Ovis aries: one gene and its partners. Each later gene encodes a partner of the first gene's protein in a complex. Links are inferred from orthologs where the notes say so. Each region holds a gene or a part of one and is shown in the gene's direction. Other genes may lie near its edges.

The links. The genes of interacting proteins can lie anywhere in the genome.
Region 2: NSMCE3 (region 1) and NSMCE2 share a complex: the UniProt entries of both Homo sapiens proteins name them as parts of the SMC5-SMC6 complex. The link is inferred for Ovis aries from reciprocal best matches to the Homo sapiens genes NSMCE3 and NSMCE2.
Region 3: the proteins of NSMCE3 (region 1) and NSMCE1 are in contact, whole or in part, in a crystal structure (PDB 7DG2), measured with the Xenopus laevis proteins. The link is inferred for Ovis aries from reciprocal best matches to the Homo sapiens genes NSMCE3 and NSMCE1. Residues at the interface, in XP_018121157.1 of Xenopus laevis: Gly57, Glu58, Val60, Gln61, Tyr62, Leu64, Ile65, Lys66, Gln68, Lys69, Val82, Thr100, Gln102, Gln103, Val104, Phe105, Gly106, Phe107, Asn123, Leu125, Gln126, Arg127, Val128, Gly130, Asp131, Gly132, Met133, Arg134, Asp136, Glu137; in NP_001083134.1 of Xenopus laevis: Ile5, Glu7, Gln10, Arg11, Leu13, Gln14, Ala15, Met17, Ser18, His19, Leu30, His33, Leu37, His38, Leu54, His57, Leu58, Pro60, Leu61, Phe62, Met63, Val84, Asn86, Ile88, Thr89, Met91, Ala92, Ser93, Asp94, Gln149.

What each region holds. Positions count from the first base shown.
Region 1 is NC_056071.1:25,979,239-25,984,080, reverse strand, and holds NSMCE3 (non-structural maintenance of chromosomes element 3 homolog), read left to right. Parts: upstream 1-2,414; 5' UTR 2,415-2,538; coding exon 2,539-3,396; 3' UTR 3,397-3,968; downstream 3,969-4,842. UniProt on the Homo sapiens protein: Component of the SMC5-SMC6 complex, a complex involved in repair of DNA double-strand breaks by homologous recombination. The complex may promote sister chromatid homologous recombination by recruiting the SMC1-SMC3 cohesin complex to double-strand breaks.
Region 2 is NC_056062.1:27,877,045-27,881,018, reverse strand, and holds the end of NSMCE2 (E3 SUMO-protein ligase NSE2), read left to right. Parts: intron 1-2,587; coding exon 2,588-2,705; 3' UTR 2,706-2,937; downstream 2,938-3,974. UniProt on the Homo sapiens protein: E3 SUMO-protein ligase component of the SMC5-SMC6 complex, a complex involved in DNA double-strand break repair by homologous recombination. Is not be required for the stability of the complex.
Region 3 is NC_056077.1:25,320,557-25,324,286, reverse strand, and holds the end of NSMCE1 (non-structural maintenance of chromosomes element 1 homolog), read left to right. Parts: intron 1-678; coding exon 679-795; intron 796-1,912; coding exon 1,913-2,194; 3' UTR 2,195-2,217; coding exon of another isoform or gene 2,218-2,339; 3' UTR 2,340-2,477; coding exon of another isoform or gene 2,478-2,557; 3' UTR 2,558-2,693; downstream 2,694-3,730. UniProt on the Homo sapiens protein: RING-type zinc finger-containing E3 ubiquitin ligase that assembles with melanoma antigen protein (MAGE) to catalyze the direct transfer of ubiquitin from E2 ubiquitin-conjugating enzyme to a specific substrate.

The sequences.
Region 1 (4,842 bases):
ACGTAAAACCCCTGAAGGAAACACAGGCCCTGTGCTAGGTGTTTGGCAAACCTCTCATCTTAGTCCCCTGAAGCCTGGACTAGTAGTCTCATTTTGTTGATTTGGGAACAGAAGGGAGTATCAGCAGCTTTCCCTCTAGTCTAGATCCAACTCCCAAACCTTTATTTTTCAAGGTCCTGGTATCTGTGTTCTCTGTGTGCTCAGCATATGGTTGAGAGCAGTCTCTGGAGGTAGGCTGCCTGCCTTAGTTCAGATCCACAGCTTCAGCTTCCTTGCTACAGTTAACATTCTTCTCTGTGCCTCAAGTTTCCTCATCTGTGTGAAAAGGTCATAAAAGCATAGGCCTCGCAGGGCTGTTGTGAAGATTAAATGAGGTAATACCTGGACTACTCAGAAGGTTTGATCCAAGTTTATATTTGTTATTACTGTTAGTGTTATTACTGCCATCCTCATCACAACAGTGTCAGTGTCAGTTCCCATGTCAGCCTGAGGTGGAATGTGGCCTGGGAGACATCTCCCTGCAGTGCTTAAAACATCACCCGAATCCTATTAATTTACATCTCTATTTTCCAGACGCTGTGTAGAGAGGTGTTTTAAGACTTAAAACTGGTATTTTTTTCACCCATTTTGAGTATGACATCTGCTATCTGGGTAAAGATGTTGATTTTCATAGTCACAGGGGTTGCTAGACCTGTGGGATTACTAGGAACTGAAGTGACTACCTGAGCAAGACAGAACACTAAAAAATAACCCAGCCCAGCTATTGACAATGGCTTTCCTCTTATTTCCCATTTCTGTCATCTTTTGGTAGATTTTTTTAAACTCGAGATACAATTGATCTTTCTGAAGGGACCTTTTGCAGGATTCTCAACTGTAGGAGGTTTCTTTGCATTTGAGTTTAAATTTTAATTTGCAAGTAAACTGAAGCAGATGGATTGTCCCATTGTGAAAGAAAAAAATGAGTGCCTTGATGATACATTTGTTTTTCTTAGCAGGCTTCTGCCATTAAGATTAATGCCTGGGGATATACTGTTAGATCTTGTGTGGAAGAGAACGTTATTACTCATAGTTTACCAGATTTTAGCATTCTTGCATCACAACACAGAATATCATTTTACATTTAGTATTGCTTTTCCAGTGCCATTATCAGATTGCATTTTCATAGTAAATTACAACAAAATTTTATGCTACCAACATTTAATGAAATTTTAATAAGGTTGTGTTTTGATGTTATTATTCAAATAATGTGTTGTGAATTGCTTTCCTTTGAATATATTTGCATTAAAGAGGAACTCAACTTGATTTGGTTCTTTGAACAGTTTACCCACTTTCTGGTAGCTTTAAGAAGACAAAGAGGGAAATTAAGTTTCGCCTTTGCAAGTCAGTAAATAGAAAAGGAACCCATTTGCTAGGATCTGTGGATGTAATGGCAGCAGATTACAGATGGTTTGAGTTAATGAAATGACTCACGTTGGTTACTAAAGCAGCACAATTAAAAATATAAAGTAGATATTTCACAGATTATGACGGATGATAACCTGGAGTTTTCGCTTTCTCATTGATCTCTAAGGCTAGAGACTCACATGTTAGCAATTCTTGGTCAGAGATGCCCCAAATTAAATGGTAGTCTCTTGAGACCGACTTCTCTGTTGGTAGCATTCTCTTAGCCATTTCTGCCAGATCTGTGGTTGTGAGCCCAAGGCCCATCTTTCCATGAGCACGTGCTTCCAATAGATAAAACTCCCCGGATCAAGCAAAAACCCTCCACTTATCGTGCTTTCTGGGGTGACTGTGCCATAGCTGTCCGGCTGAAAGAGTTGATTACACAGAATATCAAGGCTGAAAGGTGAAAAGACACGGAGAAAGAGCCCTGTATGCGAGACGAAGCTGTTTACCATTGTTTCTAAACAGACTCGGGCTTTAGAGAAAGTAACTGGTGGAAAATGGTGAGAAGGGGCTGGCGAAGGCAAACTAGTAGTCCTTGGGGTCTTTTAATTGTCTTTACGTCGTTTCGTGTGGAAAGAAATTGCTCTTACTTCCTTTCCACGCTCTTCGCCGTATTTTTCTCCCATATTCATCCTGGGAGTTTCCTTCACCTACATACAGCCCTGATTTCAGAGCTTTTGACTCTCAAGTTTCTACAGCCCTGGCCTGGGTACGATCCTGAGCCAAGCCGCACACTCGCTCAGGAGCTCTGCTTCCTGTTCGCCATCTGCAGGGTTTGGTAATAACGACGACACTTAATCATAATACAGCCCGAAAGGCTGCAAGGAATACCCGCTTCTTACCGCCGCCGTCCGCGGCCGCTGGCCAGACCGGAGCGACCTCTAGACGCGGCGCGGCCTCGATGACGCAACGCGCAGCCTCCGTGACGCAAGCGCGCAGCTTCTGTGACGCAAGCGCGCAGCTTCTGTGACACAACCGCTTCTCCTCCGGGCCCTCCCACAGCCCCACGGACTAACGGCTAACCGACCTTCAATCCCTGCCACCGCTGCCGGTTACGGGGAGTCCGCGCGGTCGGGGTCCCGCCGCCGCGACATGTCGCAAAAGCCGAAGAGCCGGGGCCGCCCCAGTTCCCAGGGCGAGCGGGAGCCGAGTGGCGGCGGCGAGGAGGCCCCGAGCACGTCTCGCGGGCCGGGCGGCGCCGCGTCGCAGCGGCGGGCCCAGGCCTCCCCCGCGCCGGGGCCGCGCTCGCAGAAGCAGCTGGAGCTGAAGGTGGCGGAGCTGGTGCAGTTCTTGTTGATCAAGGACCAGAGGAAGATCCCTATCCGCCGCACCGACATCCTGCGGCATGTGGTCGGCGACTACAAGGATGTGCTCCCAGAGCTGCTGCGGCGGGCGGCCGAGCGCCTGGAGTACGTGTTCGGGTACCGGCTGGTGGAGCTGGAGCCGCGCAGCAACACCTACATTCTGGTCAACACGCTGGAACCGGTGGAAGAGGACGCGGAGGTGCGCGGAGACCAGGGAACGCCCACCACTGGGCTGCTCATGATCGTGCTGGGGCTCATCTTCATGAAAGGCAATACCATCAAGGAGACCGAGGTCTGGGACTTCCTGCGGCGCCTCGGGGTACACCCCGACAAGAAGCACCTCATCTTCGGGGAACCCAAGAAGCTCATCACCGAGGACTTCGTGCGGCAGCGATACCTGGATTACCGGCGCATCCCGCACACGGACCCCGTGGACTACGAGCTCCAGTGGGGCCCGCGCACCAACCTGGAGACCAGCAAGATGAAGGTGCTCAAGTTTGTGGCTAAAGTCCACAACCAGGACCCCAAGGACTGGCCGGCGCAGTACTGCGAGGCTTTGGCGGACGAGGAGGCCAGGGCCAGACCCCAGCCCGCGGGCCCGAGTCCAGCCACTGCCTCTGCCCCAACCCCTGCTCCTGTCTCTTGAAATCTGAGACACACCCCAGGGCCCTCTCCCTCCCCGGGGGAAGGGCTGGAGGTGGGAGGAAGCATCTTGATTGTTTAAATGCGTGGTAGTTCCAGGAAGTGTTTGCAAACTTTAATTCTTGTAATGTTGTAAGTCGTTTTGATTCTAAAATTTCATTTAGAGGGTGACTTGTTTTGTTTTGATTTGCTTCAGTGTCTGTGTTTTTTGGTGTAAAGATCTTGTTAGCTTTATAAAGCGAATTGGAAAACTTCCTACCCGGATCTGGAACTGCCAAGGAAATATAAGCGAACTGGCCCTTGTCCGGCCTTTGAACTGCCCCACTCTGTAAAGGAAAAGTCTTCGTAAATTGAAAACGAAAGTGTAATTGCCTATATCCCCTATTACCTTAACGCAGCTATTTAAAAAATCTGTTTTCTATGCATGTAAGCATTTTGAGTCATTCTAAGCAATGTGTGTATTGTAGTTTTTCCAAATAACTTTTTACATTGATAATTACTATGCTGTGTGGCTGACCATTTTGTTCAATTTTTTTTGCTACTATAGTTATAATAAATACTGTATTTTTGAAGCAATTTAGCATTATGCATTTATTTTAACCCTAACTCATGAGAAATTTCATGACTGAAAACTAGCATCATAAGGAAAAAAGAAAACAATTTTTGTTACATATCATTGAGGTAAATAGTGTTTTGTTGAAGTTGCTTTACTTTTATATGTGTGACATACTGGATCATGATGTAAAATTATTTCTGTGGGTCATGGAAAAGTTGATAAAAGTCTTAGTGATTAACCATGCCTATTTGGGAATCAGACTAGTGGGTTCAGAGTCTGCCTCACTTACAAATTTAAGGAGATTAAGTTGTACACAGACCTTTCCTTACCTATAAAACGGGTTGATGCTGCCTGTTACTGTGTATGGTAGTGTGATAATTAGGTATGGAAGTTTATGTAAAGTTATGGGCACAAATTTGTTTAAATTGGGCTTTTTTTCCTTGGCTTAGGACTGTTAAAGTTTTTTCTTTTTAACTTTTTCTTTCATTCTCTTGTAAATCATGACTGTCCTTCTAGTCCGACTCTACTGTGTGGTTTATGGAAAAATAGCTCACGATGGAGCCCACATAAACAGAGCAGAAAGTAAGATCCAACTGGGCTTGGAAGGGGTGTCTGCAGTGTAGTGAACAGGATATGGGGTTTTGAGGTTGTCTGACATCTCAGGACAGTACAGAACCCACCTGCCAATGTGGGAGACCCTGAGTTGGGAAAATCCCCTGGAGAAGGAACTGGCAGTCCACCCTAGTATTCTTGCCTGGGAGGTTGTCTGACATCTCAGGACAGTACAGAACCCACCTGCTAATGTGGGAGGCCCTGAGTTGGGAAAATCCCCTGGAGAAGGGACTGGCAATCCACCCTAGTATTCTTGCCTGGGAAATCTGAATTCTAGCCTGG
Region 2 (3,974 bases), on another chromosome or scaffold:
CATTTACTGACTAAAACCACTGATGTCATCAGGAAGTCCTCCCCACCTCACTCTCCACTTCCCTAAAACAGCTTATTCACTGTCTGGCTATTGGTGTTAAAGACTTTGTCCTGGGGAGGGGAGGCGGGGGTGGGGGTTGGGGGAGACTCCAGCCAGGCAGGGCAGTCAGAGCAGATGAGCAGATGGGTTGATAAGCATCAGCTTGAGGGTCATCTCAGCCACTGAGTTCAAGCTGGATCTCCATGTCTCAGAAGATCAAGTGGTGAGAAACGCCTTTTCCAAAGTCAGGAAAGCATCTTTTCATAATCTCAGCTTATTGACTTTCATGCTGAAAGAAAAAACTCACTCTGAGACCTCAGGGTGTTTTAAACCAGTGTAAAGCTCTTCTCAAGCACCTCCAAGCCTCCCCCTGACACGAAGCCAAGTCATCATATCTGGTCCAGTCACCCCCATCCTCTTTCACATGGTTACCTTTCTAGCCTCACATTTTAACACAAGTACCTGACCATACAGGACCCATTTCAGTAAATATAAATATTGTTAGCAAGCGTATTATTCATTACACTGATTCATGCTCTTCTCATAGAAAGATGCCTTGGTCCAGAAATCAAGACCAAGAAAGAGTTTCTCTTCTGTGTTACACAGTTGAGCCCTCTACTACTGGACAGATTAGACCTCGCATGATCAGCTTTCTTCCCCTCCTGGTTTATAGCTTTTGTCTTGTTTTTGTTATTTTTGATCTGTGCTTTTTGGAGGGTTGTCTCAGATCACTGGGCCAGAGCTCTGTGTGGGGCAGGAACCTGTATTTGTATTTTACAGCTGGATGCTTCGAACCCTTCATAGGGCCACTTGCATAAGAGGGTCAAATGAGTGCACGAATGCGCACATGTCTGTGTTGGAGGTGTGCAGGCTATAGGCAGTGAAGGGAATGACCGCTACTGAGCACTGTGTTGCCTGGAGCCCTGTGAAGCTGGGATTCTGCGCCTTCTGTAAATCTGAGGATGCAGAGGCTCCAAAAGTCAAAGTGAGCTGCCGGTGGTCTCATAACAAGCAAGTAGGCGGTAGAGACCTAGGTCGGCTTTGACTTCAAAACTGGGTGCTCTACTCTACCCAAGTCTGGCTCATGTTGAGAAGAAATCAGGTGACTTCATCCAGCCCACTGCCTTCAGAGGAGACCACATCTAAACAGAACCATGACTCACCCACTGATTTCTTCAGCCGCAGCTCTTCCCCTGAGTCTCCATCGGCCCACTCAGCCTCTCCACTGAGGACTGGTGGGCATTTCAGAGAGAATATGTAGCAGCCAGGACTCCTGCCTGATTCCATCCCAACCTAGTTTTCCAGTTGTTTCCATGGAGATAAAGGGTACCACCAAGGCCCTTCAGCTCTGGCCAAACTCTGAACAAAGCTCAGCTCTTTGCTTTACCCTCCACATCGGTCCTTCAGCAAGCCCCCTGGGTTCTACTTCCGGCTGTATCTGGAAGCTGTGCCCTCATCCAAGCTGCCCTTTCTCTCCAGCTGCTGCATGACCCCCTCACTTCCCTGCTTCCTCTCCGCCTGTGTCCGCATTAAACAGCCAGAGTCATGTTTTCTAAATCTAAGCTAAATTTCATCCCTCCCCTCCAGGATTTTCATATTTAAAATAAAATCCAAAGTCCCACACACTTCCAGTCGAATCTCCAAATGCCCTCCCTCTTGCCCTGGGCATTCCAGCTACATTGACCTTGCTCTTATACCAAGCAGCTGCCTCCTCAGCTTCTACACATGCCGCTGCCCCAGCCCCAGCCACATGCAGCCTTTGTTCTATTAATAGATAAGCCCTCCCAGCTAGCCATGCTTGACCCCTGCTAGATAAGCCCCTCAGCTCACACTCTCTCCCTTGACCCTGCTTTTTTAGCCATTGTGGCACTTAAAGACGCTATGCAGCGGGTTAGCAATGGTTTCTCTCCTCCACTGGAAAGTGAGTGCCGTGAAGTGGGCGTTGCCCCAGCCCCAGGTAGGTAGGCACTCTGAACTAGTGAATGAGTGCACATCAGTCCTGAGTTTTTAAATGTACCCCCTTTTTGGTAAAATTTCCAGACTTAAATACTACTCAGCCATAAAAAAAAGAATGAAATTTTGCCATTTACATCAACGTGGATGAACTTGGAGGGTAATTCTGCTAAGAATGAAATTTTGCCATTTACATCAACGTGGATGAACTTGGAGGGTAATTCTGCTAAGTGAAATTAGTCAGACAAAGACAAACACTGTATGATATCATTATCTGTGGAATCTAAAAATAGAACAAACTAGTGAATAAAACAAAAAAGAAGCAAACTCACAGAGAGGACAAACCAGTGGTTACAAGTTGTGGGGGCTAGCATGATAGGGGTTGGAGGAAAAAAGGTGGCGGGGAGGGGTTATTATGGGATTATGAGAAATCATCTGTGTGAAACTTTTGACAATTGTAAAACCCTATAGAATTGAAAGAATTTTTCATTCAGTTTTTTTTTTAAGTGTGCACTTACATTTTTGCACGGAGAGAAGTTGATTCTGAAGGCATTAAGGTGAAGCGGCCTGACTTGATTTTTCTCCTCTGTCACAGTTGCCCGAAAATTGGCTGTAGCCACACAGACATGAGAATGTCGGACCTCATCCAGGATGAGGCGCTGAGAAGAGCGATTGAGAGCCACAACAAGAAGAGACGTCGCCAGTCCAACTAAGAAACCCCCCTGCCTGCAGGGAACTCCGCAGCCTACCTCCTACCCCAGCCATCCGTAGAGAGTGATGCTTGTCAAAGCACTTTGACTGGCTGCATAGCATACTTTGGGGTAAATTTGAAGGTTTTAGTGTATTTGAAAGCATTTTTCTATGTTTCAATAAGCATTCAAGTCTATTATATTGTTTATTTTTAAGTGTTCTCTAATTTTAAATAAAACTTTGATTATCTGTGTATGTGTGCCTCCTGAGGTGTAAATGGTTCCAGTGGTATAGGCTGGGTGGTGGCCTATAATCCTTCAGACTGTTTTTTATTATAGTTTTAACAAACTATAGTTTGTTAACTATAACTATAGTTTTTATATATATAAACTATATAATATATAACTATATAGTATATAACTATATATATACTATATATAGTATATAGCTATAGTTTTTATTATAGTTTTAACAAACAAGCAAACAAAAAAAAAAATGCTTTTTACAAGGGATGTTTGAAATGGAAACACATAAAAACAACCCAATTGCAAGGATTTTCTTTCAGGATAGTAAAGAATAGCATGAAGGTATAAAGCAAAGCCAGTTTCCTTACCTGTCTTTACTTTGTGTATTGACAGTTCCAAATATGTAAATGCTGTTATTTGTCATTCTGATGAGCACGGACTGCTCCAGTAGCTGGCTTATCAGTGGGATGATAAGTGATGCCATAATGGAAACTTTGCTGCAGCCTTCTGAGAGCCTAAAGTGTTCAATGTCGGAAGCAACCACATCCTGGCTACTCTCTGCCTTGCTCTCTGCCTTGGCTTTCATAAGTGCCTGGGGGTTGTCAACCGCAAAATAAAGATATTAATAAGATGTTCCCTGTCATCCCTTCAGCCCTGAAAGTCTGTAGACTTATGACCAGCAGGGTCTTTAAATTGACTATCACCGATTATATCCTATTTATATGAAAAGGACTAATCTATTCACAGTGGCGAGACAGGGAAACCTGGCATGCTGCAGCCCATGGGGTCCCAAAGAGTCAGACGCGACTTGGCAGCTGAACAACAACAGCAGCCTTTTATCAACTAGAATAATCAATGAAACCCTACAAAGCATGCCCCGACTACACTAGAAAACCCAGAAGAGCTCACAATGGCTAGCATTTATTGAGCATATACTGTGTGCCAGGTACTGTTTAAAGCACTTCACATATATGAAAATATTAACTCATAATTTTCTCAGCCTGATGAGAGTGATGCAGTTATTATTCCCACTTTACAAATAAGTAA
Region 3 (3,730 bases), on another chromosome or scaffold:
CCAGTCAGGTCTCCATCCTGCCTCTTCCTTGTGAGTTGGCCATAGGGTTAGCCAAGTTTTTCCGTATTTCTGGCTTTCCCATGGTTTGGGGTTACACAGCGTGTGGACTGTGTGTATATGGGAACCAGAAGGCCTTACCACACCCCATGCCACTTGGTTTGGGGCCTCCCTGGACCACCTCCGGCATCATCTGTGAAGTGGTGTGGGCGGAAGTGATCTTGGATGGTCCAGGCAGAGGCTCCAGGCAGTGGTGCTAGGAGGCAGTGCAGTGCTGCTCCCTGGGGTCGGGGCGGGAGGCACTGGGGGAGGGAGAGGAAGGAGTAAGAGCCTGGCTCAGGGCTGTGGGGTTCACTCCGTGGGGTCACGGCTCCCTTTCCCGGCCTCTGTCCTCATCCAGGAGTGCTGGGGCAGCTCCAGGATTCCTGTCTGTGAAGGCACGAGGATGGTGCTAAGGAAATGTGGGGCAGTGGTCCTCGCCTTGCTTTTCTTTTAGGTCTCACCTAAGTTTTCCCCACTTTAGGCTGTACAAGGGGTCGGTGTGAATGCCTGCGGGGCAAGGGGTGTGCGGACCTTTGCCCCTTCCTGGCCTCGGGCCGTGGGAGCAGAGGTACCTCTTGGGCGGGAAGCAGGCTGGGTGTGCCAGTTCATAAAAGATGCCCCCACCTTGTGTCCCCGCAGAAGGAAGGGGAGTTCACCCTGCACGGCCGGGCCATCCTGGAGATGGACCAGTACATCCGGGAGACGTACCCTGATGCCGTGAAGGTCTGCAACATCTGCCGCAGCCTGCTCATCCAGGTGCCCGGGGCCGGGCGGGGCGCACTCTGCAGGGCTCACTCAGGGCCCAGGGCTCACTCAGGGCCCAGGGCTCACTCAGGGCCCAGGGCTCACTCAGGGCCCAGGCCTCTGACCACGGGCATCTCCTCAGAAGCATCTGACGACAAGTGCACGAAGGCCTGCTTCTCCCTGCTCCTTCTGCTCTGTCCCAGGCTCTTTTTATTTTTGCCCCCTGCCCTGCTGTGTGCCTTTGCCCAGGACCCCCACTGTCGCCCCAGGGCTACAACGCGTGCTCTCAGAAGTCTGTGTCTCCTATTATCGTGGCAGCAACGCGCCAACCATCTTTCTGTCTCAGCCACAGATTCCTGTCGTCTGTTGGCCTCTGAGTACATTGTACAGCTTCAGAGCAGAGCAGCTGGACCAGTGCTGGATGATTCTGCTTTTGCCTTTTTGCTTTAGACTTTTCTGATGCCTTTTTTAAGGCCTTCATTGAGTTTGTTACAGCGCTGCTTCTGTTTTTTTATGGTTCGGTTTTTCGGCAGTGAGGCAGGTAGGACGTCAGCTCCCTGACCAGGGATCGCGCCTGCACCCCCTGTGCTGGAAGGCACAGGAGGCCCAGGGAAGCCCCTGTGTTTCCTCCTTTTTCATTCTCTTTTTGCATTTATCAGTTGCACTGGGCTGGGCCTCTTGGCACATCCATCCTTGGGCACCTAGTGGTTATGTTTCTTGGGTTGGAATCCCAAGAGTGGAATTTCTAGAACAGAGTGTGCACACGGCTGTTTAAAGCTCTGCCCCACGCTGCTGAAGTGCCTTCTGAAAGCCGTGGTCGTCTTCATGCCCCCTCCAGGGCCCACTCATGCTCAGAGTCCAGGCTTGGGGGCGGCCTTGCTGCTCCAAGGTCCTGGCCGCCACCCACTCTGCCCTGCTCTGGCCTCTGGAGCCTTGAGCTTCTTCCCTTTGCACTCACTTGTCAGCTGCTTTACTAAAACCCACTGCACTGAAGACTCAGAGTTGTTCTCATTGTCCGTTTGGGGCCTGGAAGACAAAATTACCAAGCCAGTGGGATGTCTTCTTTGCAGTCCGCTGAAGGGTTATGAACACAGAGATGTGTTCTCAAGCCATCACTTTCTCATTTCAGGGTCAAAGCTGTGAGACGTGTGGAATCAGGATGCACTTACCTTGTGTGGCTAAGTACTTCCAGTCCAACTCGGAGCCGCACTGTCCCCACTGTAACGACTACTGGCCCCACGAGGTGCCAGGTCTGTGTCTCCCAGCCACTTGCTTTCCTCCTGGCCTGTGGCAGGGCTGTGTGTATGCCAGAGTGTGCGTGCCCAGCATTGAGGGGGCACCGGGGCGAGGGGCGGCAGGGCACCCCAACAAGGGCTCCATGTGTGTGCGGGCCCTGGGCCCCATGTACTGAAGTACCTTCTGTGGTCATTGGAGGCCGGCCTGCTTGCTGGTGTTGGTTCCGCAAGGTGCTCTGGAACCCAGCAGAAACCCTGAGACGCGAGAGGGTCTGGTATAGTAAACACGCTCCCCTGCAGCTGTCTCTGGAGGGGAGGTGAAAGTGCATCCCCAGACGGGCTCATCCTGCCTCCCTGGGGGGTGAACTGTTCCGTGGGACAGAGTCCTCGGCACAGGCTTATGGCTGGGGGCGCCCACCAGCCCCGCCACTCACAGTGCCTTCTGGCTTTTCTGTGCAGAAGTCTTCGACCCCGAGAAGGAGAGGGAGACCGGTATGTCCAGATCAAACAAAAGGTCCTTACGGTCCCGGCAGCACTAGCCAGGCCGCCGCCTTCGGGGGAGTGACCGCCTGCCCCATTTGGAAGAGAGGCATCAGTTTCACGGTTCGCGTGGATCACCTTTTTACCTTTTATGTTTGCTTGTTAACAGGTTTGGAATAAACTTGCTCAGCAGCTCCTGCGGCCTCATCTGGTGGCGCGCCCCTCTCTTGGCACTCACTGAGAGCTGGGGGCCTGGGCTCGGGTCTGGGCTGCGGCTGGCCGAGCGCCTCCTGCCCAGCATGGCCCGAGGCCACTTGCTCAGGACAGCGTTGCTTTCAGTCCCTAGCTCTGGTCACTGGTCCTACTCACACTGGCCAGCCCGACTTACTGGATGTGTGGGAGCCTTAGCCTTGGGCCCGCCCCATGCCCCACACTCTCCCTGGCCCGAGGTGCACCGGCCTGCACGGCACGAGGCTGCGGGAGGGGCTGTGGCTGTGTGTCATCTCTGGGCGCTCTGCCTCGCCTGCAGCTGCCCCAGGCCTGACCCAGGAAGTTGGCCTGGGTGCCACCTTCCCCTGGGTCTCCTGCATCACGCCTACCACCAAATCCTGTGCAGCCCACCTGCCAGATGGCCCTCAGCCCCACGGCCACCACCCAGGCTGGCCCAGCTCCCCTCCCCTCTGCACTGCTTCCAGATTCTCCCTCAGGGTCACCCTCCCATGGCCCCCGTTGCCCTGAGGCTGACGCCATGCAGGGGCCTGTGCGTTTCACTGTCCCCCCTCCCACTTTCCAGGGTGTGGCATTTCTCTGTTCCTGGATGAACTTTCCTGCTCCTCACCCTGCAGCCTGCACACACGGTCCCTCCGCCTGCCTGCTCTCTCCCCACATGTCCTGCCCTTGCCAACACCACCTATTCACCCTTTAGATCTTGGCGAGGTGGTCACCACCTCCATGCCCAGTCCCCCACCTCCCCGTACATTCTCGACCATCACTTGCCACACTACTTTAATTCCCTGACTCCCCTCCCTTCCAGCCCAGTATCAATCAGGACCCCTTCAGTCATGATACAAAACCCAACTCAGATTGGCCTCAGCACAGAAGGCTAGGGGGCCCTTCAAGAGGTTTGATGCAGTGGGCCCAGGGTGCCCACGCGTCTGCATCGCTGTCCCACCCTGTTATATGTTGGCCTCATGCTGGGGCTAAAACACGGTCTCAGCAAATCAGCCTCTTTC